Danio rerio: one gene and its partners. The protein of the gene in region 3 interacts with the protein of the main gene of each other region in a biochemical or structural test. Links are inferred from orthologs where the notes say so. Each region holds a gene or a part of one and is shown on either strand. Other genes may lie near its edges.

The links.
Region 1: the proteins of acvr2aa (region 3) and gdf2 form a complex in vitro, tested with the Homo sapiens proteins (2 studies listed by BioGRID). The link is inferred for Danio rerio from reciprocal best matches to the Homo sapiens genes ACVR2A and GDF2.
Region 2: the proteins of acvr2aa (region 3) and bmp7b are reported together in a solved structure, tested with the Homo sapiens proteins (2 studies listed by BioGRID, with this or other methods). The link is inferred for Danio rerio from reciprocal best matches to the Homo sapiens genes ACVR2A and BMP7.

Annotation. Positions count from the first base shown.
Region 1 is NC_133187.1:3,039,499-3,050,429, reverse strand, and holds gdf2 (growth/differentiation factor 2 preproprotein), read right to left. Parts: upstream 5,838-10,931; coding exon 5,513-5,837; intron 3,449-5,512; coding exon 2,604-3,448; downstream 1-2,603. Other genes in the region: gdf10b (growth/differentiation factor 10), read right to left, coding at 8,258-8,449. UniProt on the Homo sapiens protein: Potent circulating inhibitor of angiogenesis. Signals through the type I activin receptor ACVRL1 but not other Alks. Signaling through SMAD1 in endothelial cells requires TGF-beta coreceptor endoglin/ENG.
Region 2 is NC_133198.1:6,462,009-6,472,287, reverse strand, and holds the end of bmp7b (bone morphogenetic protein 7b precursor), read left to right. Parts: intron 1-6,767; coding exon 6,768-6,917; 3' UTR 6,918-7,217; exon of another isoform or gene 7,218-7,273; 3' UTR 7,274-7,389; downstream 7,390-10,279. UniProt on the Homo sapiens protein: Growth factor of the TGF-beta superfamily that plays important role in various biological processes, including embryogenesis, hematopoiesis, neurogenesis and skeletal morphogenesis.
Region 3 is NC_133184.1:27,062,103-27,073,001, forward strand, and holds the start of acvr2aa (activin receptor type-2A precursor), read right to left. Parts: upstream 7,052-10,899; 5' UTR 6,055-7,051; coding exon 6,000-6,054; intron 5,573-5,999; exon of another isoform or gene 2,182-5,572; intron 2,123-2,181; exon of another isoform or gene 1-2,122. UniProt on the Homo sapiens protein: On ligand binding, forms a receptor complex consisting of two type II and two type I transmembrane serine/threonine kinases.

The DNA of each region.
Region 1 (10,931 bases), on a different chromosome or scaffold from region 3:
TTATTGAACACGGTCTGCCTGCTAAAAATCCTGTAGCCCATTTATATAGAAAACTGATGCAGGATAAATCTGACTACTCTCATTATAGCAAAAGAATTAGGGAATTAGTGTTAAACACTATAATAGAGGATGAAATGTGGGAACAAATATGCACAAATTGTTATAAGGGTATAAGCAGGGAATATGGAGGGAGTTGGACTGGAAGATGAGGTTTTTCAGAGTTCCGTTAGTGGCCGCCAAATTCAATAGTTCTTTACAATTATCACAATGCTGGAGAGATTGTGGAGAAGTGGGGGACTGTGTTCACATATTTTGGGAATGTCCTAATATACAAGTGTACTGGCAGGAGGTTAACAGGGAGATTAGAAAAGTTTTAGGATATGACATACCAATGCACCCAGTATTTTGTCAATTCACATCATCAATAACATATTTGATCAATTCAGTAAGTCTCACCTATTTACACTAAATATATTCATAATAACAGGTAGGAAAAGAATTACAGTGAACTGGATGAAGACCTGCCAACCTACTTTGACAGAATAGACACAGAGGTTGAAACGTGTGTGTATATATATGTATATGTGTGTGTGTGTGTGTGTGTGTGTGTGTGTATATATATATATATATATATATATATATATATATATATATATATATATATATATATATATATATATATATGAGAAAATGACTGCAGATTTGCAGTTAGACTTTTAGACTTCTTCCAACAGACCTGGGCATTAATCGAAACATACATGCTTGATCTTTGAAAGGGTTTCAGGGGCTTTGTCTTTGTCACAGTTATTGCCTTTATATTGGAGTTTATTTATTTATTTATTTATTTATTTATTTATTTATTTATTCTCCCCCCCCTCTTTTAATTAATTAATTAAATTATTATTTTTTTTGTTTTAAAGCTGTCACTATTATTTATATATTATTATAATTTATATCAATTATTTTACATCTATTTGTTTCTTTTCTGTGATTGTAAACATTATAAGTAAGTGTTATTCGTATACTATGTTTATAAAAACTTTAATAAAAACACATTTAAAAAAAGAAATTGTCTTATAGATGCACAGTTAAATAGACTTTTTTGCTAAACACGTTGAATCTCATATACAGTTAAATATATATATACAGTACATGTGTGTGTGTGTGTGTGTGTTTATTATATATTATAATATTATTTATTTATTTATATATTTTTTTCTGTGCTGTTTAACAGAGAGAAGATTTTGGCTATACATTTTTAAACATAATAATTTTAATAACTAATTTCCATTAATTAATTTCTTTCGTCTTTACTAGTTATTTTGCAAGATGCTAGCATTAATAATTTCCTTGCTCTCTTAGACAGCGCTTGGAAAACATCTGAAAAACCGTTTCAGGAGAGCTACTAATTTGTACCGTAGATATTCCCTTCTACCTGAACAGTACTGTTACTCTATCGCCCCCTTGAGGTTTTTGACTAGTATGTACAGTATGCATTGGCCAAGCATCCACATCTGTTTTTGCATACATGTGTAAGTATGTTTCTGTATCAAAATGTTAAACAAAAAGATCTCTAAGGAGAAATATCAGGCCTGATGTTTTGATCTGTGTCCCAGATGCTGAATCCTTGAAATGCCCCTGCAGTATATTCTCATGTAGTCAACATGTTGAAGTGAAAATAGCATTTTGATCACATTAAGGATGTTGACATTAACCTCTACAATCGTTGTTTCATTAAAATAATGTTGGTTACACTTTAAGCTACAATTCTCAAGCTATTAATAAACCAATAACCATGACAATTGCTTCATTAAATTAAAAATATCTGCTTATGGTTATTTAAACAGTTTAGGGTAGGAATATAGAACATTTTGAGAAATGTAAACAAAAACAATGGTCTCAACGTATTTCCTGTTTGCATTTTTCATGTCTATAGAGTCCAAGAATCCAAAAAGAGCCACATGTTGATAAATAATGTTACTGTATGTTCAAACGATAGATCTGCAAAAGAGAAACTACGAGTTTTGGGAAACAAACATCGTTCTTTTCCCAAATTATGCATCCCTGCTGAAAAATCCAGCTTAAACCAGCCTAGGCTGGTTGGCTGGTTTTAGCTGGTCGACCAGGCTGGTGGTCAGGCTGGAAAATGACCGGCCAAATCCAGCTAAAACCAGCTTGACCAGCCTGGTTTAAGCTGGATATAGCTGGTTTTGGCTGGACTCCCAGCTTGGCTTGGCTGGTCAAGCTGGTTTTAGCTGGTCATCTCCAAGCCTGACCAGCTAAGACCAGGCTGGAAATGGCTGGAAACCAGCCTGGAAGTGGCCAAAACCCCTCTAAAACCAGCCTGGTCGACCAGCTAAAACCAGCCAACCAGCCTAGGCTGGTTCTTTTCCCAAATGATGCATCGTACTATGATAGTTTAGCCACGAGTTACATCGATGTTTGGGAAACGCACCCCAGGTTTGGAACAAATTAAACAGACTTTTAATTTTTGGGGTGAACTATCCCTTTAAGAGGTATTTCAATAGGAATAAAAATATATTTATAACGATATACATAATATATATATATGTTATATACATGTATACAGATGCATCCAAACACTACCTACAGCCACACTTTGCAACTTTCATCTCCTCGTAGAGATGTCGGACGGTGATGACGCCTTTTTCCTGGTACATGACGGCGATTGGGTCCAGCTTGGTCGGGACGCAACATGCCATGTTTGCTTTCTTTGGATTGCTGAGGTTAACCAGTGTCTGGATGACTGCATGTCTGGATGGGCTAACGTCATCAGTTAGAGGGAAATAACACACACCTTTGCACTCATAAGCGTCGTATTCCGGCGGCGCAACGATCCATTTGTCCCATCCGATGTCTTTGAAATTGACCTTGAGGGAAGTTCTCCGACAATAATTGTTCTTTGCTTTCCTCTTTCTCCTGCGGTGTCGGTTGCTCACTGGAGCTTGATTTCCCACTTGCTGTTGTTCACGCACAAGCATCTCTTTAACCTTCCTCATCGACTCTTCCTTCCGGTTTCCGAGATCATCAGAAAAAACAATGACGACCGCAGAGCTGTTGTCCTCTAGACTCAGACTTATATCGAAGGAGTCACAGCTATGTTGGACTTCAACCTGAATTTCCCCAGCCCCACGTCTAGATTCATGCCAAATCCTGACGGCTCCGGTCACATCAAAAGCCTCCCACGTGTTTATGGACTCTCTCACGTCTCTGCCATCCAGAAGGTGTAATATTTTAGCATTCTGCTCGTATTCTACATCATAGACGTTTATGGATGTGAAGAGATCGTCGCAGGCGGGTTTATGTCTGTGCCAGAGAGTGAACAGACGTAGCTGGACTGAGGTAATCTCTTCGTGATTTGGGATGGAAACGTTGAATAGCAGCCGGTGTTGGGTTTTGTTGCCTTGTCTGATGGAATAAATAACATCTGTAGAGTAGACAAAAGGGAGCTCAGTGAATTTTACCATTAATTTGATGTGTTAAAGATCTTGTGAAAAGGATAAGAGAGGCCAAAAAAATATTACTCAACCGCCAACTGTTCCGCCATATGTTTTACACAGCCGCAACCCAGTACTGGGAAACACACATGCACTCACACCCTACAGCCAATTTAGTTTATCCAATTGCCCTATAGCGCATGTGTTTGGACTGTGGGGGAAACCGGAGCACCCGGAGGAAACCCACAACAACACGGGGAGAACATTCAAACTCCACACAGTAATGCCAAACTGACCCAGCCGTAATTCGAACCAGTGGCTTTGTTGCTGTGAGGCGACAGTGCTAACCACTGAGCCACCATGCCGCCAATGTTCAATATTACACTTTAAAAAAAAAAGTCCCCTTAAATTCACTGGATTTCTGGTCATTTTGATAGCCAGTAATAGTTTAAAATTTACAAGAAGAAACAAAAAATTAAAATGCGTTTAATAATTATTGTAATTTTTACAATATTTCTATCTGGTTCTCGAATCTGATTGGCTGATAGTCATGCGATATTCCAAAATAACAGCACTCATACAGCCTCTTGTGTATTACTCCGCCCACATAGGGACGGCAGATGAATAAACGCACTAAAGATCGACAACTGACTCTCAGAAAATTGCTGAAGGAGACGAAAATCAGCAGTTCATTTAAAAAAAAAAAAAAGGATTATTATGTGTTGACAAAAGTCAGCTCATTCATGAAAAAAGACACCACTGTTATGACTTTAAATTACGGCAGGAGAATTTCTTTAGTTATAAATAATAAAAAAATATATTTTTAATATAAAAAAAGCACAATTATGCTTTAAAATAAGTTTACAAAACAACTTTTGTGAAAGATATTCGATAATGTATTAAAAAGGGATATTCACTGTTTCCTCACACCAAATTGGTTGTAAACTTTCATGAATTTTTCTTCATTTTCATAAATATATTGAAGAATTCTGCGGGGGGGAAAACTGACTTTCATAGTATTTTTATATGGATGTCAATGGCTGCCTTTTCCCCAACATTCTTCACAGTTTTGTATTCAACAGAAGCTCATATAGTTTTGGAGCACGCAGAGCAGGGATTACCAAACTTGTTCCTGGAGGGCCGGTGTCCTGCAGATTTTAGCTCCAACCCTAATCAAACACACCTGAACAAGATAATCAAGGTCTGAAGCTGCTTTTCCTCCCGTAGACTTCCATTCATACTCGCGCGAATGTGTCAGACCAGCGTGATCTCACGAGAAAACGTAAGTATTTAACGTTTTGGCAGTTTAGTGGCTAATTCGTACGAATTTGTACGATTTCAGTCGTACGAAATGATACGATTTTAAAAAGGAGGCGTGGCACCTAACCCCACCCCTAACCCCAACCGTCATTGGGGGATAAGCAAATCGTACTAAATTGTACGAATTAGATCGTACAAATTCATACGAATTAGCCACTAAATGAAAAAGTTACGAATTGCCGTGAGATTGTGTTGGTCAGACCGGAAACGCAAGGTCATGCGTCAAGTTTCGCAGGTTCCTACGGTGCAAAGTTCAAGCTTGGTGAACTCTGACCTGCGAAATCGCATCACTTGACTGCGTGAGACCAATTGAGGATCAAAACATGACCTCTCTGAACAGATAATCTTGTTTATTCCCGCCCCTTTTCGCAGCGTCGTACCACAGAATTTTATTATCAAACTCTAGTGTGACCGCAGCTTTACTAGGTATACTTAAAACACCCAGGCAGGTGTGTTGAGGCAAGTTGGAGCTAAACCCTGCAGGCCAACGGACCTCCAGAAATGAGATTGGTGACCCCTGACGTAAAGAATAAGCAAATGATAGTAAAATGAACATTTTTGTGTGAGCAATCCAGTTAAAACTCTTGTTATTGTCCACCGCTGCTGGTTCCAGTATATATCACCTAATGAAAAGTTTCCTCTGATGGTACAATCAATCAAAGAAGCTCTTTTAATGTGTGTAATATTGAACAGATCCGCCTCAGAGATTGTGAGCTCTCTTTATGTGTACTCACCCTGAACGACAAAGCTTCGGATGACATCCGACCGAGGGATGGAGTTCTTGTCAGAAGCGTATCTATTATAGAGTTCGATCATGAACTGAGGAGGCTGAACCTTTCTGTGTTCCTGCGGCACGCCTGATAAGTTCAGCTTCCTCAAAAAATCTTCCTTCATAAAGCCTAAGAAACTCTCCACCTTGTTCAAGTCATCGTCTTCAACCAGCTTCTGCTCTTGAATGAACATTGAATCTTCCAAGCTGCCAGCGTCACCTAAAGATTTCTCTTCGGTAATCCTAAAAACAATGGACATCAGAAGGAGCAAATGTCCTACGCGCCACATCTTCTTTTAGTTCCTGCAGCGATAAGTGACTTTGAGCAACAAGTTTTACATCTGACTTTGGTTTGTGGATGATGCTTTGAAATCGGGGTTCCTTAAGTGAACCTCAGGTTTACTCCCATGCCCCACGCTAAGCTCTGGAAACCAAAATAGTAGCATAGCTATTATCTTTGACACCAATGTTGTGGTTTGGACTTGGTTATCTGGAGGAAGCGCGTAGTTAATGAGCGTTCTGTAAACACTACCAGAACGACTAATGAGTGAGATTTTGACAGGCTTATTTACACGGTCAGGCTCTGTTTTTATAAAGGCAACTCCATCACTTTGAATTTGTTTGTGTTTATGTGTAGGATGTCTCAACTTATCAGCCTCGGAAATGATAAATATTAACATTAAAGATTCCAGCGCTCTCTTTAGTTTGCATTTGGTTTCATTTTCAGGTTGTGGAAAGGGTTAATGGGTCTAAAAGTTGACCGTCGCCCTCTTCCCTGTTTCCAATACAATTCATCAAGTCTTTATTCGCAATAAAACATATATATTTTAATAAATGGGCAAATCCAAACTATTAGAATTTTAATAAATATTTATATAATAACCATGGTTCAAGGTGGCTTAGTGGTCAGCACTGTCGCCTTACAGCAAGAAGGTCACTGGTTCGAGTCTCGGCTGGGTCAGTAGTGACTGTGTCTCCCTTATTAGCAAAGTACGTTAGTCTTGTTTCTGAACCTGCCACTACGCTGACACATAGGCATCTGTAGCTCCGCCCTTTTTTAAAAACAGCACAATCTCATTTGAATTTAAAGCGACAGCCATCAAAACGCCAATATTAGTATCAAAGCCTAAAAAGGGTCCGTTTCAAAGAGTTAGAAAACATTATCTGTTTGGTATTTTGAGCTGAAACTTCTTACACACACACTCTAGAGACATCTGAGAGTTATTTTAGATCTTGTAAAAAAGAGGATAATTTCTGGAAGTACACTGAATGCTAAAATTAAAAAAAAAAATTATTTTTTATATATATATATATATATATATATATATATATATATATATATATATATATATATATATATATATATATATATATATATATATATATATAAATTATAAAGTCAGAATTTCCGAGTTCTTTAACACTCTATCTATGGCCAGTCGGCAGTCAGGAAACTCATTTATACTTCGCAATTCTGATTTAATTACTTGCTATTCTGACTTTAACTCACAATTCTGAATTAATAACTTGCAATTCTGACTTAACTCGAAATTCTGACTTAACTCGGAATTCTGACTTAATAACTTGCAATTTTGACTTTATAACTTGGAATTCTGATTTAATAACTCACAATTCTGACTTTATAACTTGCAATTTTGACTTTATAGCACGCAATTTCAACTTAACACGAATTCTGACTTAGTAACTTGTAATTCTGACTTAACTCTGAGTTTTGACTTAACTCGGAATTCTGACTTAACGTGCAATTCTGACTTTATAACTTGCAATTTTGACTTAATTCGGAATTCTGACATTATAACTCGGAAATCTGACTTTATAACTCTGAATTCTGACTTTATAACTTGCACTTCTGACTTTGTAACTCGCAATTTTGACTTTATAACTCGCAATTCTGGCTTAACAACTTGGAATTCTGACCTAAAAACCTCGCAATTCTGACTTTAGAACTCGCAATTCAGACTGTATAACAGAACTCTGACTTTATAACTTGGAATTCTGACTTTAGAACTTGCAATTCCGACTTTGTAACTCGCAATTTTGACTTTTATAATTCGCAATTCTGACTTAAAAACTCGGAATTCTGACCTAAAAATTCACAATTCCGACTTTATAACTCTGAATTCTGACTTTAGAACTTTTTTTTGAAACTTTTTTGTGAACTGTTCCTTTAGTAGAAGTTTATTTTTTTTATAATATCAACTGCATTCCATAAACATATACTAATATTTTATTTTGATTTGCTGGTGTCTTATTTTACATCTTGTCATTATGGGTCCCCTTAAATATAAAATCAAATCACGTTGAACAAAATGTTTAATCACAATTCTTTCAAGTGAACAAACACATCAACCAATGTTCACGAATGAGACATAATGCAGAATATTACCAGATTTATTTACAGAAATGCATTTAAATCTCTTTGTCCTTAAATTCACCATGTATTCGTTGCAAAATGAGTCTTACCTTAAGCAAACTACAGTATGTCACAATAAGGATTATATACAGTTCATTCAAAATGAAAGAGCGGACAGAAAATACAAAGTTTGTGTGCAAAGATCCTGTATTATCTGAGGTGTTGAGGTCTTATTTGCAGACATAAGAGTTTGTTTTTGTCATATGACGGCAGTCCCTGTAGCAGAGTTTACTGTTTTGCAGATTATTTATCCGTATTTCCATTAGTGTTTCTCGTTTATCGACAGGCGCAGGTTTCCACAGACATGCTGGGATAGATCTTCAATAGCATATTCCTGCTGGAGTCCAGGAAGAGTACGGCCAGAGAGCTCATCTTATCCGGGACGCAGCACGGATCCGGGACTCCAGGAACAATCCCAACCGCTCTCACTATACTCTGGATGGTCGCATGATTGGATGGATGGACAACCTGCATTATGAGAAAGAAAGTCAAGGTTGGAGGATAAAGCCGTGAAGTATATAAAAATCAAAACTAAACAGATTGATTGCGTTAGCTTGCATTGCTAGTTTTGTGGTGAACAATTCATCAGCTCATATCATTAAGAAAAAATAGTTTACCCTTGTAAGCTTCAAGTGAAATCTGAAAATGCACTTCCTGTTCGTTTTCAGCTAAATTCCCAGATTAGGTCTGTCTTAGGTAGTGGGCGTGGCAAGCATACTTAACCACGCCCATCCAGCTGTCAGTTTTGACAACAAACAGAAATGGTGAGCAGGAGGAGTCAGTAAGGTTGTATTAACTCTCCCCAAACCACCTCCCCATCTTTCTGAATGGCATGCCTACTTTACTACATCCAATCAGATCGCAGTAGAAAAAAAAAACCACACCCACTCATTTCTCATTTAATATTCTGTTTCTCCGGGAACTGCGTCACAATACAAAAAAAGGTTGCAGCTTCCGGATTATGCAGACTTTAAAGGGATATTTCACCCACTAATGAAAACTCTGCCATCATTTACGCATCATGTTTGAGTTTCTTTCGTCAGTTGAACAGAAAAGAAGATAGTCAGAAGAATGCTCGAAAAAATATCCATCGACTTCCATAGTATGTGATGTCAATGTCTGTTTTTTTTACCCACCATTCTTCAGAATATCTTCTTTTGTGTTTATGCATTCATTCATTTTCCTTCGGCTCAGTCCCTTATTTATCAGAGGTCACCACAGCGGAATGAACCGCCAACTATTACAGCATATACATATATATGTTTTACGCTGCAGATGCCCTTCCAGCTGCAACCTAGTTCTGGGAAACACCCATACACTTATTCACACACACACACACACACACACACACACACACACACACACTCATACACTGGCCAATTCACCTATAGCGCATGTGTTTGGACTGTGGGAGAAACTGAACGAGGAAACCCACAACAACACAGGGAGAACATGCAAACTCCACACAGAAATGCCAAACGGCCCACCCAAGACTCCTGTTGTCATTTCAACCTAACACCTAGGCTGTCTGTAAAAAAAAGTCCAACAAAAACAGTATTTTTTATCTGAGGAAACTTGGATGGTTTCAGGTTTGTACCTCTATGATGACGCTGTTTTATAAACAATTAATTGAATCTGTTTTATCTTTATGCATTGTATCTTGGTACGGTAATCCGAGTGTGTCAAACAAGAACAGGTTGAGTAGCCTGGTTAAGGTGGCAGGCAAGATCACTGGTTTTAACCAAACTGGTCCTATGGTAATTTACTGAACTGGTGTTTTAAAGAGAGCTCAGGGTATGCTATGCACCCCGAATCACCTGTTTCACTCAGTGGTTCAGCCGAGTTATCAGGACGTCGTTTTAGAGTTCCTATTTGCAGGACAAATACTGTAGAGTTAGATTTTTTTATAATGGTGGTCATTAGGTTGTTAAATGAGTCCAGGGGGGGAGGGAGATGCACCTATAACATGATCAGTGACGCAAAAAGGGAGTATGCAGTTTATGCGGCGCATAGGGGCGCCACACATGGGGGGCGCCATTGTGCCAAAATTATTTTTGAAATTATCCATATTAAAAGTTTCAAATAATATATATATTTTTTTGTTAAAAATGTTTATTTAGCATTTTATACGCATATAATATAGTATTTTATTAAATGAAAAAATCATTCCTCCCCTTCCCATTTTTAATACCATATACATGTTTTTATGAATTTATTATGTATCATATTGATTCATCAGGCCTTTTGGTTACTTCTTAGCTCAAAACTATTTTAATTTTAGCTACAAACAAAGTTATAACATTTCAATTAAATAGAACATTTCACAGTTTGTTTCTGTTTTTATTTTACACTAAACATTTGACAGTCTTTTTTTATTTCACTTTTAGCAGTTTCAGTCAATTGTTCTTGCAGAGACAGACCTTACACTTCCCACAGTATGCATGTGAGAAGTTATTGCAATGTTCTTTTGCCCTTTAGGACTCCCATGTCTATCATTTTGTTTTGACAAATGTAGTACAAAGTCCAAAAGCAAGGCTAGTCAAGGTGCTATAATCATTTAGTGTGGGAAAATTAAATGGAGAAGAAATTTGGGGTGGTATGAGATGCATTTCTTTGCGACTTAACATGCTTAATGTAATTTACCTTTTACTACTTCATACTATTTCAGTTGTGTTCAGAACTGCAAAACTGTTTTTTTTTTAAGCATATTGATATCTTTAAGAAAAAATATCTTTAATTTATTGATGGAAATATTTTCCACATTTTATCACTTGCCTGTTATAAAATATAGTTGGATTGAAGCCGCATACCCATCAGTAAATGTGCAGTTGCGCCCCTGAACATGATGTATTGTATGTTTTGGGGTAATCACTTTTTAATGTGCACATGGAACTCCGCCTGTGTTACGGCACTTTGCTGCAATTTTAGTTTCCCTAAACGGGATAATAAA
Region 2 (10,279 bases), on a different chromosome or scaffold from region 3:
ATGTCCTTTTTTCCTGTTTAAATTTTACTGACTTTAATGGTCATTTATAATGGATTTGTATAGTACTGTACAAAGAGCCCTAGCTTTAGATTAGATTACAAAACTGGATGACGTTGAGTTAATAAAGCATTTATTAACAAACAAATTAACTATTAGTATAAACCTGAATAATAGGGATTATAAATGTTGATTTAAATAGTTAATTAATTATTTACAAACTCATTCTGAATGATCTTAAAAACCACCAGCTATGCCTAAATAACTGCTTTGTAAGTAATGCAATACTATAATTTAGTAATGAAAAATAAATCATCAACTAAGTATGAAAATACAATTATTAAGCGCATTATGAATGTGGTTATAAATCAAAAACACAGCATTTGTAGCTGCTGTTATAAACTGCTTAGTAACGTTAATAATGCAAAGTTATTGGTTTGCAATATTGAAATCACTATTTGCTTATGCTCAATAAATAGTTCATAGTGTGTAGTTATTATAAAGTGTTACCCTCATTTCTAATAACTGATTTATTTTATCTTTGCTATGATGACAGTAAATAGTATTAGACTAGATATTTTTCAAGACACTTCTATACAGCCTAAAGTGACATTTAAAGGCCTAACTAGGTTAATTATGTTAGTCTGGTTTGGGTAATTAGACAAGTTATTGCATAATGATGGTTTGTTCTGGAGACTACTGAAAAATAAAACTTAAAGGGGCTAATAATTTTGTCCTTAAAATGGTACAAATAGTCTATCAGTCAAAATTATCATCCCCCCCCTTTTATATATATATATATATATATATATATATATATATATATATATATATATATATATATATATATATATATATATATATATATATATATATATATATATATATATATATATATATATATATATTAGGGATGTGCGGAGCAGCCGGTATTTGTATTTGTATTTGTATTTGTTGAGGGGGGAAAAGTATTTGTATTTGTATTTGTATTCGAGTAAAATTCAAAATGGCGCAAAAATATATATTTTTTCTATTACACTTCTAATTTACGTTATAGTGAAAGTATTGTTTAATTATACCCATTATATAAATTATAGATATGCAATATTGGTTGTTGTTTTTGAACATGTGATAAGAAATGTCATTGAAAAGATAATAACATAGAAGCCATTATCTCATCCATGGTTAAACCAACAACTAATAAAATACCATTGTGAATATTATGAACCCCACCACCACCGTTCTTGTTGAAGGACACTGAATAGACAGAATAAAAACAAATAATACTTCAAAAAACTGTTCTTCCTCTGAAAGAACTTCTTTCCAATGGACAGAATTCCAAAAACTAATATTAACTAAATAAATCTAAATAAAACCCTGCCCGGGACATCTGGCAGAACAAAAGTATTCTATATAATACTAAAAGATACAGCCCTGCTATTATCATCTGCCAGCCACAAAAAAGACACAAAGTTTGTTTGTTTGTTTATTTAGAGATATCTGCAAATATTTTTCAATGGAAGTCAATGGAGGAATATGACTAGTCAGTCATAATATATTTGCAGATATTTCCAATCTGAATTATAATTATGACAAGTCAAAATATAATTAGAGATATCTCTAAATATATTTATGGATAGTCTGAACAAGGTTTAAATGCTAAAACGGCTTGCCATACGCATAGTGGCACAGTGGAGATTTCTCTAGTTATATCGTTTCAGTCGTTTGTTATGCAGTGACATGCAGTCAAATATTTCGCCAAACAGTCCTTAGGGATGCGGTGACACGCTGTCAGATATTTTACCAAACAGATCCGCCACTTTTGGCGCGCATAAACAATCATAAAGCCCTCGTGCTGCAGGAATGAGGAGGTTTGCTGAAGCCGCGCAGCTGACGTGCAGTGAGGGTTTGCGTCTTTAATAAACTACGGCAGTTTGCGATCACTGAACAGTAAGAATGATTAATAAATCCATTTGAAACAGTCCCTTAAAAGTCACGTCTCGCTTTCAGTTTCGGGCTTTGGCGCGTTTTGCACTGAGCGTCTCTCTCTCTCTCTCTCTCTCTCTCTCTCTCTCTCTCTCTCTCTCTCACTCACTCACTCACTCACTCACTCACGCGGGCATGCACTGTGGTCTCAGGAGGAAACGCTGCTTTTTGATATAGTGTTTTTCTTGCTCCCGAATACAAATAATTTTTCAAGTATTTGTTCGAATCAAGTATTCGTAAAAACACGCTATTCGTGCCTTTCCGAATAACGTATTCGGGTTCGGCTCCACCCTTAATATATATATATATATATATATATATATATATATATATATATATATATATATATATATATATATATATATATATAAATATATTTCCTAATATGTTTAACAGAGCAAGGAAATTTTCACAGTATGTCTAATAACATTTTTTCTTCTGGAGAAAGTCTCATTTGTTTTATTTAGGCTAGAATAAAAGCAAAATTAGTATTTTTAAAAAACATTTTAAGGGCAAAATTATTATCCCCTTTAAGCTTTACATTTTTTCAATAGTTATTTTAATATAGTCAGTCGTGAACTGAAGTGGGCCGGTCTAAGGCTTGAAACTCCAGGGCTGAAAAGTAGTCCCTCTCCGGCTTTGCTCCTGGGATGCTCTCCAGAAATGTATGTAATCAGAATGAGCCAGGGTTGAGTTTTTCGCATTATAATGCAGACAAACGCTTTTTCCTATAGATCTGTTTGATTCTTTCACCAGTATAATCTCAGATGATTAAGATGCTGATTTAGTGTTCACATGCTAATAATGATAGAGTGGAAATAACTTGGATGTTGATAAAATGTTGTTGTGTTTTTAAACTGAGGAGAAAGTCCAATTAACCAATTTAAATGTGCCTTATCTTGAAAAAAGGTGGATTCTTTTACCCGTTTGATTATACCAACATGATGGTCACGTCATGTATGAAGGATCTCATTTTAACAAGAAATAGATGTTGTTTAACAAGAAAATTGTCATTTTAATGAGACAATTAAGTTGGATTAACAAGAAAAATATGTCGTTTTAATGAGATAATTGTATCGTTTACCTAAACAACATCTCGTTATAAGCAGAAAAGATGCAGCTTTTTGTTTTTATGATTAAAGATGTAATTTTAATGAGAAAAGATCTCATTATTATGACATAATTGAGGGATATAAATAATATGTGTGTGGCAGCAGTGAATCACCATACTACAATGCCCAATTCCTTATCAGAAGAAATAATCAAAAGACATGAGCATGTTGTGTGGCGGGAGAACCTGTCTAAAGCTCACTTTAATGATGATATAAAGTTTTGTTTGATTGAGCCTGGTGGAGAACATTATGTTCATCGTCAAAATGTGGAAAGAGTGAATCCAAAGTGTGTACAGATGTCTATAAAGGTGGAGGTAAAGTGCCCACCTTTTGCCTCCACACTTCATACTTCTTTTAAGGGATGCACCGACACTATTTTTTTGCAATCGATCTTGATATCAAAATATCAAAACCGAATCAGATCCGATCCCGATACTGTGCCTTTTTTTATTATTTATAATTTTTTTATGAACATAATTCACTGTAAGAAAAAAAATCGTAAAAAAAGGTCAAATGACTGACAGCTACGGGTGCCAAACAAAAACCATAAAATTACGGTAAAATGTCTTTGTTGAAATAAAGTGCAAAAAATAATAAATTTACAGATATTTTCATTTAAATGTTTACAGAAAAACACTATAATATTACAGACTTTTCCTAGATTATTACGATCAAATCCATTCAATAATGTTACACACTAAGTGCGCTCACATGCACCTGTTCCGGATTCCGCTGATTGCACACACACAGTCGGAGGATCATTATGAACTGATTACATGCACTTTAAAAGCAGCATAGACCAATTGCTTAGTCTTGTTATACTAAATGGCTTCAAAACATTTGGGATATGGTAGGCCTACATGACAATTTTCTAGTGCTTTATAATAGGCTACCTTCATAGCTTTTGTTGGCTTATAAATTACACAGAACATAGCGCACGTGCAAGATCGGTTTTGGATCGGTACCAGCTGGCCGATACCCGATCCAGCAAAAATATGCAGTATCTAACCGATAGCCGATACAAGTATCAGGATCAGTGCATTCTTTTTGACTGCTGTGACCATCACAAATTTTGTTTGTATAAACTAAATCATCAGCCCCTTTCACACATACAGACTTTTCCGGAAAATAACCGGCAATTTTTCGGAAAGGGATCATATGTGAGCAGGCCCTTTTGAAAAATACCAGTAAATTTGATCACTGTCATTGTATATAAAAATAGTAGGTTATAATAGGTTGTAAACAGTTGAAGTCAGAATTATTAGGCCCCCCTGAATATTTTTCCCCAATTTTGAAAAGATATTTTAATACATTTCTAAACATAAAAGTTGTACTATTACCTGATTTATTTTGTCTTTGCCATAATGACAGCACATAATATTTTTCTAGATATTTTTCAAGATATTTGTATTGAGTTTAAAGTGACATTTAAAAGCGTAACTAGGTTAATTAGGCAGGATAGGGTAATTAGGCAAGTCATCGTATAATGATTGTGTTGTTTGTTCTGTACAAATATATATAAAAAAAAAACATCTGTATTTTTAAGTAAGTGTGCTCTTTTATTTTGCTTTTATTCTTGCCATAATAAAAATAATATTTTTAGAGCAACCCATGTTCTATTTTCATTAACATTTTAATAAACCTGGTGAGTATAAAAGCCTCATCTGTTTCATGAGGGTGAGCGCGCAGTCATTGAAGGTGCGCAATGCGGCGCCAGGCAAAAGTATAAATCTAGCTTTATGCAATATTTTACTGTTTTTAAAGTAGCATTGTGAAAATTACTGTATATTTTACAGTAAAGATATACAGTGCTGTAAATTCAAGCAGTAAGGTAATTGGTGCTGTGAATGTAAATACAGTATTTTTGCTGTAATTGATTTACAGTAAGTTACTGGTGAACTGAACTGTAATATAAACTGAACCTTACTGTAGGACAGTTATGCAGTTTGTTACTATAATTTAAAGTTGCATTGTGAAAATTACTGTATATTTTACAGTAAAGATATACAATGCTGTAAACATATACACAGTAAGGTAATTGGTGCTGTGAATGTAAACAGTATTTTTGCTGTAATTGATTAACAGTAAATTACTGGTAAACTGAACTGTAATATAAACTGAACCTTACTGTAGGACATTTTTGCAGTTTGTTACTGTAATATAAAGTTGCATTGTGAAAATTACTGCAAATTTTACGGTAAAAATATGCAATGCTGTAAATACATACACAGCACAGTAAATTATGCTGTAAATGTAAATACAGTATTTTGATTTACAGGAAGTTACTGGTGAACTGAAATGTAATATAAACTGAACCTTACTGTAGGACAGTTATGCAGTTTGTTACTGTAATTTAAAGTTGCATTGTGAAAATTACTGTATATTTTACAGTAAAGATATACAATGCTGTAAACATATACACAGTAAGGTAATTGGTGCTGTGAATGTAAACAGTATTTTTGCTGTAATTGATTAACAGTAAATTACTGGTAAACTGAACTGTAATATAAACTGAACCTTACTGTAGGACATTTTTGCAGTTTGTTACTGTAATATAAAGTTGCATTGTGAAAATTACTGCAAATTTTACGGTAAAAATATGCAATGCTGTAAATACATACACAGCACAGTAAATTATGCTGTAAATGTAAATACAGTATTTTGATTTACAGGAAGTTACTGGTGAACTGAAATGTAATATAAACTGAACCTTACTGTAGGACAGTTATGCAGTTTGTTACTGTAATTTAAAGTTGCATTGTGAAAATTACTGTATATTTTACAATAAAGATATACAATGCTGTAAATATATACACAGTAAGGTAATTGGTGCTGTGAATGTAAATACAGTATTTTTGCTGTAATTGATTTACAGTAAATTACTGGTGAACTGAACTGTAAAATAAACTGAACCTTACTGTAGGACATTTATGCAGTTTGTTACTGTAATTTAAAGTTGCATTGTGAAAATTACTGTAAATTTTACAGTAAAAATATGCAATGCTGTAAATACATACACAGCACAGTAAATGATGCTGTAAATGTAAATACAGTATTTTGATTTACAGTAAGTTACTGGTGAACTGAACTGTAATATAAACTGAACCTTACTGTAGGACATTTATGCAGTTTGTTACTGTAATTTAAAGTTGCATTGTGAAAATTACTGTATATTTTATGGTAAAGATATACAGTGCTGTAAATACATACACAGTAAGGTAATTGGTGCTGTGAATGTAAATACAGTATTTTTGCTGTAATTGATTAACAGTAAATTACTGGTGAACTGAACTGTAATATAAACTGAACCTTACTGTAGGACATTTATGCAGTTTGTTACTGTAATTTAAAGTTACATTGTGAAAATTACTGTAAATTTTACAGTAAAAACTATGCAATGCTGCAAATACATACATAGCACAGTAAATGATGCTGTAAATGTAAATACAGTATTTCGATTTACAGTAAGTCAGTGGTGAACTGAACTGTAATATAAACTGAACCTTACAGTAAGTCACTGTAGATTCTACAGAAAATTGTTAACAGTGTGTATATTCACACACTTTAATCATGCAGTTTAAATATTTGCTTACAATTTAGGACACATACTGTAAGAAAAAGTGCATTGTACACTTTGTGACTTTGTCCTATTTTCTTTTTTTGTCATCTCAGGTTCACTTCATCAACCCTGAAACAGTTCCAAAACCATGTTGCGCTCCTACCCAACTCCACGCCATCTCCGTCCTGTATTTTGACGACAGCTCCAACGTCATCCTGAAGAAATACCGCAACATGGTGGTCAGAGCGTGTGGATGCCACTAGAGTCCTGTCACACATATGCATAGACAATCATTACATCCATATAGACAATGCAAACACACACAAACACGCATGACTGATCCTCATTTATAAAAATGGCGCCCTCCCAAGATCCCACCAAAACGATATGAAGATCTCAGGCCAAACCAAGACCGTATACCAAGGACAAAATGAAGACTTTCGATTGGCCAGGATTGCAAAAGGAAGTTACAGATAACCTCTCTTTTTTACACACACACACACACACACACACACACACACACACACACACACACACACACACACACACACACACACACACACACACACGCACACACACACACACACACACACGCACACACACACACACACACACACAGACACGCACCAACACATGTATGCACACATTTACATACTTCTATATACTTGTGCTTTCTACTGTGTAAATAGTTTTTCAATGACAAAGTATTTATTTTCCAACACGAACTCTAAAACATGCTTGTCTTTTTGTGTTTTTTTTAAATGCGTGTCATCATTGACTCATTTACCATTGATGAAGAAATGTATATATATATATACACTACCTGGCAAAAGTCTTGTCGCCTATGCAAGTTTTAGGAACAACAAAAAGTAACTTGACTTCTAGTTGATCATTTGGTATCAGAAGTGGCTTATTTGAAAGGCCTCTAGATTACGCCTATTTTACCAAAATAAAACATGATCATACCTTGATTTTCAATTATTTCAAGACTTAATAGAAATAATGCACAGGTTAGAATATAAAATCATGCTGCAGTGGAAAAAGAATTCATATTTTGTATGACTACTATGAGCTTGAAGGACTGCATCCATACATCTCTGCAATGACTCAATGTATTAATAAGGTCATCTAAAATGGCAAAGAAGCGTTCTTGCAGGACTCCCAGAGTTCATCAAGATTCTTTGGATTCATCTTCAATGCCTCCTCCTTCATCTTACCCCAGCCATGCTCAATAAGGTTCATGCCTGGTGACTGGGCTGGCCAATCCTGGAGCACCTTGACCAGGCACGTGCACACATAGGGCTCAACCTGTGCAGTGCACATGCCCTTTTTAGTCTTGGATAGAAAGTGCCCTTCCAAAATGATCAAAAGTGCCCCCGCGACACCCCCCTCCCCCGCTTTACAGTACGCGCGCGACAACACCGCTGATCAGAACGCGCGACAACACCGCTCTTCAGTACGCACGCGACAACAACAACAACCGCGCGGCAACAACCCCCCCCCACCCCACTCTTCAAAAAATGTATCCTGCACATGCCCTTTGGACAGTCTCAGAACGGGCCTGACCTTGACCTTCTTTAATTGATGTAGAGGCTGAAGTATGAAAAGGAGCGCTAACATCTCCTGTGGGTTTGTAATGTAATGGGCAGCACAGATCTCTCGCACAGCCCCATACTGAATGTAACCCCAAACCATGATTTCTCCTTTACCAAACTTGACTAATTTCAGTAAGAATCAATGTGGGTTCCAGTAGGTCTTCTGCAGTATTTGTGATGATTGGGATGCAGTTCAAGAGATGATACATCAGAAAAATCAACCTTCTGACAAAAAAAAAAAAAAAAATCAATAAATATCATTTTAGGAATAAGTATTACAGTCTCAAAATGACTTTTGCTGTTTATTCGAAAGTACTTATTTAAAATAAGCTGAAACAACACATTTATTTAGTTTTGGGCGGACAACTTAATTGTTTTATGTTCAATCAACTTAAATTTGCAAATAAAAACTAATAACTTATTCCAATGGAAGCTAATTTCACATAATCTACTTCAACACAATACTACAACACAATCCTTGAGATTTAAATGGGACAACTTCATTGTTTTATGCTAAATCTGTTTATATTTATTAAGTTAATTTGATTTATGTTGGGACAACATTAATTATCTGTGTGGATGGCAATTTTACAGTGAAATAGGAAATCAAGTTATAAACAAATGCAAAAATGTACATTTAAATATGAAAATTTTTGGTGGGTTCAAAATTAACTACAGTTGGAGAATTATTAGCCCCCCTGAATTATTAGACCCTTGTTTTTTCCCCCTAATTTCTGTTTAACAGAAAGAAGATTTTTTTCAACACATTTCTAAACACAATAGCTTTAATAACTTATCTCTAATAACTGATTTATTTTATCTTTGCCATGATGACAGTAAATAATATTTGACTAGAAAATTTTCAGGAAACTTCTATACAGCTTAAAGTGACATTTAAAGGCTTAACTAGCTTAATTAGGTTAACTAAGTAGGTTGGGGTAATTAGGCAAGTTATTGTATAATTAGATTAAACTTTATTGTCATTACACATGTACAAGTGCGATGCAACAAAATGCAGTTAAGGTCTAACCAGCAGTGCAATAACAGCAAGTGTAGGATACAGGTATAAGTTATTAAGTGCAGTTATAGAAAACCTACAGTCATATTTACAGATGGATGTACTATGAACATTATGTACAGGTTGGATTAGCTATGAACAGAGTTTTACAATAGATGCATATACAGTATGTACAGATTGCTATTAATAATCAGAAGTGTGCAGATAGATAAACATAATTACAAATGTATATGTGCAGTGGGTGTGTTCATAATTACTAATGTCCATGTGCAGTGTGTATGTACAGTTCAAATAAGTGAATCAGTGCAATTTTTAAGTGTGCAAATGTTAAATAGTGCAGTAAATGTGAGGAGTATAAGTTAGAGGAGAGTGGGGGGTGTCTTAGAGGGGCAAAAGAGTCAGTGGGGGGCAGAGTTCAGGAGGGAGACAGCTCAGGGAAAAAAGCTGCTCCTCAGTCTGCTGGTTTTTGTCCAGGGGAGCCTGAAGCGCCTGCCAGAAGGCAGCAGCAAAAACTGTCTGTGAGCAGGGTGAGAGGGATCCTTCAGAATACTGCGTGCTCGGCGCAGACAGTGTTTCTTCTGGATGTCCTCTATGGCTGGCAGTGTTGTCCCTGTGATGCGTTGGGCAGTTTTCACCACCCGCTGCAGTGCCTCTCGCTCAGCAACAGAGCAGCTTCCACACCAGACTGTGACCCAGTTTGTCAGGATGCTCTTTATTGTGCAGCGGTAGACGTTCACCAAGACAGCTGATGAAAGCTGGTTCTTCTTAAGTTGCCTTAAGAAAAATAGGTGCTGGTGAGCCTTTTTGATCAGGTGGTCCAGGAAAGGTCCCTAATGATGGTTTGTTCTGTAGACTTCTGAAAAAATATAGCTTGAAGGGGCTAATAATGTTGACCTTAAAATAGTTTTTAAAAAAATTAAAACTGCTTTTATTCTAGCCAAAATAAAACAAAGATTTTCTCCAGAAGAAAAAAATATTATAAGACATACTGTGAAAACTTTTTATGCTCTGT
Region 3 (10,899 bases):
TGGAGAATGTGTGAAATTCATGTGTAAATATGTAACAAAACATTTATGAAAACAGTCTTGTTCAGAGGTTGAAAACACGTCCAGGGATGACAGCTTTAATCTGCTATCCTTTGAAAAATCATTCACATAGAGAATATTTAGGCCAAGCAGAACTAAAAGCCCTAAACACGTCAACCGTTTCTGTGAGAAACTGTTGGTTTGATTTATGTATTTTCTCGATCACTATTTAAGCACAAAATCATCGTTCACAAAGAAACAGGAAAACTATAGCGCAGGTCAAAGCAGAGTGTTAGAGGACAAAAGTAGCACATTTGATTTCAAATAGACCTTCCGTCAGCAGTGGTCAACCGGGGTTGTAAATTATTCACAGAGGCATCTGCATCTTGGGCAACAGTGGCTGCAACCTGCCTATGTCATGGAAGTCCAGTTGGTGAGGATCAAAATACACTGCGAAGCAACACAAGGTCAAGCTATCAATCACACATTAGCCCTTCAGGCAAAATAAATATGCAGATAAATATAAAAAAAATAGGATGTGTTCTGCATCAACATCCCACAGATCAATACAGAATCATTTTAATAGAAGGACTTTCCATTTTCAAACCTCTCTATCAGTGTATGAAAAGTCAATTGTTCTTTTCTAGCCTGTCTAACCTTCTGCTTGAATATTACTGCTGTGACTTGACTAAATAGGGTGAATGAGTATAGTTTTATAACAATGCGACAAACTGCACAGCACATAGGTTCATACAGACATTTGATATCAGGCCGAAAACATCCATCCAATTGGCATTAAAGAAACATGGTGCAGCCGAGAACACTGATTACATCTGGGTAAAGATACTTTACTGAGATAAACAACTAAGGAAGACTAAGGTCAAGTACAGTAAGGCACCTACTTTTTTTTTGCATGTTCTCTTTCTAATGCAACAAGAATTCAAGCTTGTAAAGTGTGCCCCAGTAAACCAGGCATTTGATCAGCTAGGAACAACACAAACCTATTTAGCTACAAAATAAATATATTTTGATAAATAATATTAACAGTAATTATAACAACATTGTAAATTTCAGTTTTGTTTTTGCATAGCAATACAATTTCAGTAGTACTAAACATCACTGTAAAAAATACAGGGTTACACAGTTCATTCAAAAATCAATTAAGTTAACTTAATAAGGTCTTGTGAAATTAGTTTCAGTCTGTTCGTTCTAAGAATATAGCTAGTGTGCTCCAAAAAAGTGACAAAATTCATTTTTAAAAGATATTAAACAAATATAAACATGTAAAGCTTGCAGTTTGTCATTTCCGCCTAAATCGATCAACAATTATTTTTACATCATACGACATTTTCTCAAACGTTGATCAAATCAAATCATCAAATCAAACGATCAAACAATCTCTAGCATCTGACATGTTCAGCCCCTTTTAAAAACTTTTCATTTGATGCGCTTGAGATCAACCACTCTCACTGGCGTAGATGAGATAAAAAGAAATGCGATTGGCTGTTTTTTTTTTTTTTTAAACGGGGAGAAGCTACTCTATGTCCCACCCTCTCTATATTGTTCAGTTAAAATTCGTCAAACACTGAATAATAAAGGTACATTTTAAAGCACTTCACAGAACCTTTAACTAATTTAAGTAGATTGAACATAAAAAGGGCGACACAAGAGGCATAGTAGGTAGTGCTGTCGCCTCACAGCAAGGTCACTGGTTCAGCCTTGGCTGGGTCAGTTGGCGTTTCTGTGTGGAGTTTGCATGTTCTCCCTGTGTTCGCATGGGTTTCCTCTGGGTGCTCCGGTTTCCCCACACAGTCTAAAGATATGAGGTACAGGTGAATTGGGTAGACTAAATTGTCCGTAGTGTATGAGTGTGTATGGATGTTTCCCAGAAATGAGTTGCAGCAGAAAGAGCATCCGCTGCGTAAAACATATGCTGGATAAGTTGGTGGTTCATTCCGCTGTGGCGACCCCAGATTAATAACGGGACTAAGCCGAAAAGAAAATGAATGAATAAATGAATGAACGTAAAAAATTAAGTTGTCCCAAAACAAAAAAATCTCAGGAATTGTGTTGTTTCAGCTCATTTTAAATAAATAGTTTGAACAAGCAACAAAATATTAGCTTGGTTTCTTGGCACAGAGGAAAATCCGCTTTTCCTTTAATTATAAACAGCTAAACAAATAGAATTATACATTTAGAATAATGCTGACACTACATAGATATTTACATGGTATAACTGAATTCACATCAGAGCATGAGAATTCACTCCGGCCTCCTTGCCAACAACGCTGCACGTTCAGATAGCCGTCGAGATCGACATTCACACATGCTGCCCTGCCGTTGACGCTCTGATGTGTGGTATGGCACCCAAACTCACATCAAAACGTGTTTACTGTGCATCAAGCTGATATGAGCGGCTGGAATCAGCGGATCATAATCTGCTCATGTGTAAAAGAACACAACGCTTCCTTCTGAAAGTATATAATTAGTCTTTATTATTGACCAGTCTCACAATCTGGCAAGTAATTGTTTAATTTACTAACCAACACTTTTCCATCTCACACTTGTGCAATGCTGTCAGAAGCACAGAGTGCATTAAATAGATTTATATGAAAATGCACTATTTGTTAAGTAGCTTTAAAAAAAGCCATTTGCTAATCCATGCGTGTCAGAAGAACAGTTAGCATAATCATTTAAGATGATAATAATAATAACAGAGTTACAATCTTATCCCAGGCTTCAATTCCGTGCAATGTTCCACTGAATTTCTTGATCATTAACAATAAAGGCACTGAAGCATACACAACGCCTAGATCTAATCAGTTACAGTTTGCAAATAAATAGTGAACTGACCCCTAGTTAACTATTAAACCCAGAACAAATAGACTTAGTGCTTCAAATGGGCTATGAGGTGAAATGATTCTGTGTTTAATCAAAATCGCCTTATAAAAAGATTAAATTAGCACAGTATACTAGACAGGTCAAAAATAAATGAGATAAAAATTGAGCGTTAAGCAATAGTTTGTGACCATCAACTTGCCCTGAACTAGTTTACATAAGTACAAAAGTAAAAAATAGTTTTCATCATGTAGTCTCAAGACTAAAACCAGCTACTGTAGAATTCAAATGCACATTTATCGATCTGCCCATCAGCAACCCTGTTGTGACTGCACAAAAGAGGATTTCTACAGCAAATGTATATTATCCACAGCACAGTAGGATCTTTGTTTTGGCAATTTGTTTCAGAAGTCGTGCTGCTGCACAATGACCCCAGCTAAGCTGCCCGGGTGTTATACAAGGGAAATAAATGTAGGCTCTCCTACCCACAACAGCTGTGCCAATAGATTTCAACGAATAAGACACTGGAAGAGGAAGCACCATTACTTCCATTCTACACACCGGTCATGATGTAGTCAAAAGCATGAACACAATCAAAAGGACACAACCCACTCTGCGTAAATGCGTCATTTTAATGCAAACCAAGACGCAAATCCAAGAGGCACGCAAAGTGAATTTTGCAAGCTACTCAACGCCATCAAAGCTCTCGTGAAAAACAGCTGACCACCACATGTACTTTTAATAGTCGGTAAATATTTGCAAGAAAAAAAAGAAAACCGAGGAACTAAATTTGAAAGTGATGTGTGAAAGTTGCCTTCATACAGAAGATCATGAGGCAAAGCGAGCTCAAAGCACAACATATTATCGTTATTATTAACAACTAGAAACAATAATAGGAGTAGTATTAGTGATAATAAAGTGACTTTTCAGTTGCTTCATGAAAACATATTGCACCACAATGCATCTAACACAATTTTTTATTCCAATGCATTACTATACTATTGAACAAAAACTATGGGCTCTATGCAAAGCTATAGTTTTAAAACTTCTGGTGAAAGATTAATGTGACTATTTTGAATTCCACAAGGTTGTTTTTACAGCATTGATGTTGTGATGTAATTACAATACATTCAGTTAAATAGACTTAAGCATTCATTTAGCGTTCAAGCGTAAAACGAGATGAAAGGCCATTGTAACCACTAGCATCACAATGCATTGTAAATGTATGTCTGTAAGCAATGTATATTTAATATAGCCTAATGTTAATAATAATAATAACAATAATTTAATAATAATTGTTATTATAATACAGTGTTTCTTATGCATCCTATCACCATCATTATAAGTTGTACTAAAGATATTAGCTGGGTATATTGGGTGTTTACTAGCTTCTGCTGCTGCCATCTACAAAAAGTAGCTTGTCCCATGGCAAAACTCGAGTGAGAATTTGTGATGCACCAGTATCAGATACAAGCGGAAGGTTTTGAACTGTAATTCTATGATTTCAAGGGAAATCAAAGAGAACATGATTCAATCTGATCGCTCGTAAAAGGATTAGACTGGAAACTAAAAAATAAAAATAATAAAAAATAAATCTTTGATGTTATCGTCAAACGAACATAAAATCTATTCGACAGCAAGAACAGATAACAGCACTGCAGCTTCTAAATGAACTCAAGTACAATATATCTACACACAAAATGCCCATTAACATTATGTTTCTGTCTTTTTGCTACACTGAAAAGTTGCCATTGAATACATTTAAACTCCTCTTTAAGCTTACAGTTTCTATGTGCGCTTTGGTTAGATGCTGCCACTTGTGATTTATTTTAGGAGCCATGACGTTTAAGGCATAATTTACATTCGACTGGGCAAGTGCTCAGACTTAATTCTCTCAGCAGTCATAAACTCATGCCTGGGCAAAACTTCTGCAAATGCTTACATCACATGTAACAAATAAAGTCAAACTGTTCAATTATATCTGGTTTCCGAACAGATGCAAGCATAAAGACGAAGTAAACTGAAGTGACTCTAATAGGCGTTCAGTTCTGGAACACAACAAAACATACAGCACAAATCGGTTACTAGCGGCTCTAAACATCCATAAACACAGGTGGAATCATAATCAGGTGAAAGGTTCCTCATATCACTACAAGCAGAGGTCTATAATGGTTTATACGTGCACATCCCATCAGTTTACACTGATTCCTCAGAGAGAGCATATGCAATGTGACCCAAAAGATATGGTTTCTTATGTTACCCAGAAGCTCCTGAATACTTCTGCCTTTAGACTGATATAAATACCGAAGCGATGTGCTCAAATATAACATTTTATTGATTAATTGTCTGTGTAGCCAAAAGAGTGCAGAGCTGTGTGGGCAAGTGCGATGCAGGATGAGGGATGTAGTGGGAACACAGAGTACAGGCACAAACTGTGCCTATTGTACATTTTGCAATAAAAGTAAAATCCTAACTTTGATCACAGAGTGTGTTGAGGAACATCCACTGTTTTGACTTGCTGTTGCTTAAATATTCTACTGAATAAAAATAATCATTAAGGTGTAGATCAAATATGCAAGGTAATCTGTCCTATCTTATCTAATGTTCTCACATGCAAATAAGACCTTTGGCCTAGCCATCGGCCTCATCAAATGATTTTTCCCCTTCCTAAACCACTCATATACATAAATGTAACCTTCCTTTTCATGAATAATTAAAAAACAAAAAAAAAAAAAGATCTGCCAGTAGAGGGGGTTTACATGCAACATATAAAACATGCATGCATGCATGAACAGCAACAGCAGCCAGCACAATGACACTGGTCAATATTAACAGAACGTTCAGATCACATCACCAGAGTGTTTTCTCAACTCCACTGAGCAGGTCTTCATGTTGGATACTTGTCAAACCAGCTATTGAGAGAAATAAGCTGCTCAATCCTGGCAGAAATCGCTGCTTCTGTGTTGTGCATGCTCAGATCATATTCATATGGTGTTGTGTAGCTATTTTACGAGAAACCAATGAATTCGATCTCAATGCGGAGTAACACGAGAAAGAGCCTCCGGTGGCACATGCATACACACAAAAAGAGATATGTCATGACACAAATGCACACTGTGCGTGCGCGTATTGCATTTAAAGGGGTCAAACAGATTACTACCCACCTGAGGAGCAGGAGATGAGGAACACTCCGAATGCCAGCTTTGTTGCAGGTCCCATTTTTTCACTCTTCTGTCTTGTCCTACAAAATCCAAGAGTCTTTGCATTCAAGTTTCCCCTCAAACTACTGATAAGCAGTCAGTGAAACACATCCATGTCACCGAGTCAGTGACAGATATACGGCAGTGCACAAATCCAGTGCCAGTTTATAGTCCTCGGATTCAGCGAGTGAAAAGCGGCATCAAAGTGTCCACTTGAGATTCAAAAATTTCGAGCTTTCAGAAACAAAGTCAACAATGACTGTCCATGCAATTTGCATTAAAAGCCATGCCAATAACGAGGAAATTCCAACGCGTACGAATAATACTGTATCTACACAATGTTGCACTGTCGCGCGCTCAGAATAAACGAGTCCGTTCAATAAAGCCGTTCAGTAAATGGGCCAGCTCCCATTGCCAGTAATCAGACCAACTGGAAAAGCTTTGCATAGAACCCGCCATCAACATATATAAAGATACTGCTGATTATTAATGCAAATGAACTAACGTAATATCTCAAGAAGAGCAATGCCTCCAGTTCACTCCCACCCGACAACTCACAGGCAGTACACTAAATCCATGCACGTCTACGGGAATAAAAATGAAATTAACATCGCCAGACGATGTTTTCACATCACGCTTAATTCGCGTAATGTTTAAATACAATGTATGTAGTACAACAGATCATGGATAAAGTGAAATAAATGGGGTCACGCGCACGATTTAGCGCACGCGCGAGCTCAAGTTGACAGTGAAGGACTTAACGTTAAATATGGCCAACGCGCTATATCTACATTCGCTTCGGGTGTAAATGATTCAAACCTGCAATTAGCGACCTCGCAAAGCTTCTCCACAACTGCAAAGGTAGGTAGTTAAACCAAACAGTCGTTCGGACTAAGACAAGTCGACGGCTGGATAAAGCTTAGCACGTACAGCCTCCGAAATAACTTCATCAGCCCCGTCGGGAATATGACGCAAAAAATGAGACGGATATGACAGATGTGGTCACTAAAGGTAATCCTTCAAAATGTACTGTCCCGGTGTTCGCAGACGGCGGACTTTTTAGAGCGGTCGGAACTCAATTTATCGCTATTTCCCTCTCCGTTGCTGTCAGTAACCGTTGGCTTACAGTATTCAAGATGGACGCCCGGGCGGATTGTTTTTGTTTTTTTCTGTCCTCCACTGCCTTTACCCGCCCATTATTTTACGTAAGCGCGGCACCATACTGACTGACGAGCGCTTTGTCCAATCAGAAACATATATGTTAATAACCGAAACCAATTGCAGCGCTTGGTTCACAGAAACCCATCCCTACTCATCATGAGGGGTTTGTATGTGGCAGTAGAGTGACGTGCATTCCAAATGTAGGCTGTGAAATATTCACTGTATGTTGATAGTAGTGTTGGGTACTATCATATCCCTGATGTAACACTCTCTCGTTTATGAAGATACACAATATGTTATATTATGTGCAGTTGAATAGTCTATTTCAATTTAATGCTGGTATATATTGGGGCTAGAACATGGGAAACCTGTCATCATATATGTCCCCCTCACTTTTAGAGACAGATCATTTAGAAACGGGTGATTAATAGTTACATGAACGTAAAGTTTTGGATCTCATACAGCTGTCCCCCCACTTTTAAAATGTCCGCTACATCCCTGGACATTTTTGTAAACAAATGAACACCATAAACTGTACGAACATTCATCCAGGTGAGCCTATAACCTATAATGAATTAGATTTGAACAGGAAGGTTTACAGCATGATTGTATTATCTGTAAATGTCAGGTTGGTTGACAAAAATGTTTTGAAATATACTATTCTCTAATGTATACAGTTGATCAAAAAAATATTATTTGGTCAAAATTATCGTTTAATGTTTTGCGTCCTAAAAAATTCGTTTTAAGTATAAATAATTGTTATACTGCTTAGTTTTTCTTTCTGCAAAGCCTATAACCTTGCTAAATGCATTTCTCCAAATTCTCTAACAGATCTCAAAATCTGTTCCAATACAGTCACAGTGTGTTTAAGTGCAGCTGAAAAATTATAACCCTACCCTTTATACCCATAGCAAAATCTTAGTCTGGCAGACAATGATTCATCTTTCTGAATAAATTATAACAATTATTCAAATACAAATATATATATATATATATATATATATATATATATATATATATATATATATATATATATATATATATATATATATATATATATATATATATTGCTGGTGTCTGAGTGACAGTGATTTACAAACGTTGTAAATTTTAAAAAGTTTATCTTAGTTTGTTTAAGTGTTTGGTGCAAACCCTTTACTCTCATTTAAATTAAATTAAAAATAAAAGTAGAGGTTTGTACCTGGAAACTGTTGATATTTGACTTCTTTAAAAGTGGCTATAGGCAGTTCTATTGCATGTTTGTTAAAATGCGCATATTCTCATACACATACTCACAAAGTTTATTTTGTTGTCAAGATTAGGAGAGTGACCATCATGAAGCTTTTTTTGTGTAATTCCATATTTTCTATTCTCACATTTAATTATAGTATAACAAATTGATCAAAGCTAAAGATTTTAATAATCTGATTTTTTTTTTTAATAAAAAGCATCATAAATACATCACAAGGTCCCCACAGAGGACTGCTCTTAGTGATTTGTGGGCTGCTCACATTGTAACATAATAGCAACTCCCCAACCTGGCCCAATGCAGCCTATGTAATCTGATCCACAAATATTCACACATAATCCTGATGCCCTATTTAACCATAAGCATTTTTTTCATTGCTGCAGGGATCTGAACCTTTGTTCAAGTCCTTTAGTTGCTTCATTCAGTGACTGCAGTGAACAACTTGAGAGAGTTTTGGTATACATGTGTGAAAAGAGCACGCTGGAGCATATTTCACAATGAAATGTCATTTTTTTCCAACAACCAGAGGTGACTTTAGAAATATCCAAACTAAGCTACTGTGAAGGTCAAAGACATGTGATCAATGGCAGTGCCCACCGCACTTTGTCTCCCTCTCCTGATATTTCAAACCTGAGAGAATGCTGAAGAACGCTCTTTTCTAGCATTCTACCAACCTCCAAATGCACATCCTCCTTCTCTTTTTTTATATGAACCAATGCAGATAGATGGATGTATAGACAGACGTAATAATTGTTTGAAAATAAATGTTTTTATTTTGGTCACGATTCATCTTTTACTTGGATTTTTGAAGTAATGTTAAAGTTGTCATCATAACAAAAGAAATACAAGTGAAGGTTATTCCAAAAAGCAGAAAGTTATGTGGCATGTACCGGATATGTTTAAGGATATGTAAGCAAATAATCTCAGTATTCGGTTCCAAAAACTATAGTAGCTTTTATGGTATATAAGTTGCCACAGCAGCTTATGCTCTTATCACAACCTTTTCTGGAGCAGCCTTTTGTTTGTTAACTCTGTACAGTATGGTTACATTTGTTAACATCAGTTAATTAAACTTACTTCAATTTAATGACACATACAAAAGCATTTATTTATCTTAGGTAATGTTAAATTCTAGGTTAATCATATAATTGTTTTATTAAATGATTCAAAGTTATTTATTTGAACTATAATATGGCTATTTTTCAGTGTTGATTTTAGCGCATGTACTAATGTTTACTAATGAGACTTTATTGTAAAGTGATATCTATTGTAATTTTTTGTTCTTTTGCAATTTAATTTGTTTCAAACATTTGTTTACTCCTAACATGTATTCACAATAAAGCAATGTGCATATAGTTTTTTTGGTTATTACAATTCTCCTAAAATAATCTATTTTTTTCAACATGGGTCAAAATCCTGATAATATTGATTATCGCAAGAAGAAAGATCTGATAACGGCAAAAGCCTATTCAAAAAAAAAAAACTGAAAAATTTGAGATCAATATTATAAAAAAGTAGAACTACCAATAGGGGTGGGTGATGAGCTTTAAAAATGTAACTTAGCGTTAAACAGAAGAAGAAACAATAGGTGTGACACCCTGCTTTTGGCATCTGTTTTTATGGTAACTCCTGGGCTGTTTCTCAATATGCATTCTTCAGCGTTCTTGTGTCCTCGTGTAACGCCATCATCAACTGCCAAAGTTCAGTTCCAAAACTCAAGCCCGCAAGAACGGAGGACATGTGAAAATTCCCGGATGTATTCTTGATATCGAGGACACATCAATGCAGACCTAAGTAGAAAACTTGCTCTAAAAGTCCCAGAAGTCATTGCAGCTGGAAAAAAAGGAGGTGGGAAGCGCAACATTTACTATACTATTATTATTAAAGAATTGAGAAACAGCCCTTGTTTTGGTGTTCTGTTGAAAATAACTTTTGTTCACGGTTAACATATTCTTAGTTGTCGGCATCAATAGCCTAGTGGTTAGCACACCCCTACGGGGGCCGAAAGAGCTTAACATGCTGCAATTTAAGAAAACTCGTGCAATTACAAAAACACAGAAATGTTTCAAGGGGACCCAAAGATGTGAAGGATGCCGCTGTGCCGTGACTATTGCTCATAGCAGTTGTAAGTGATCTTTGAAAGGTAAGTTTATTTTTGTTTATTTTAATATCCCGATTCCTGTGTCTTTAGTATTTACTGTATTAGCCTAAATAACTGTAACCTAAATGGCTTAAAACATTTCCGTTGTGTTGTGAGAAAATGCAGTACATTTTAGTAGCATGTTTGATTTGTGTGAAAATGCAGCTCGTTTTTAAAAAAATTGTGTTTGTGTTGTGGCGATTTGCAGCATGTGTGCAGTCAAACTGATGAAGATCTTTTCTCAGTTTACAGGCATTTTTTGTAATTGCTTGTGTTTTCTTAAATTGCAGCACGTTAAGCTCTCTCGGCCATCG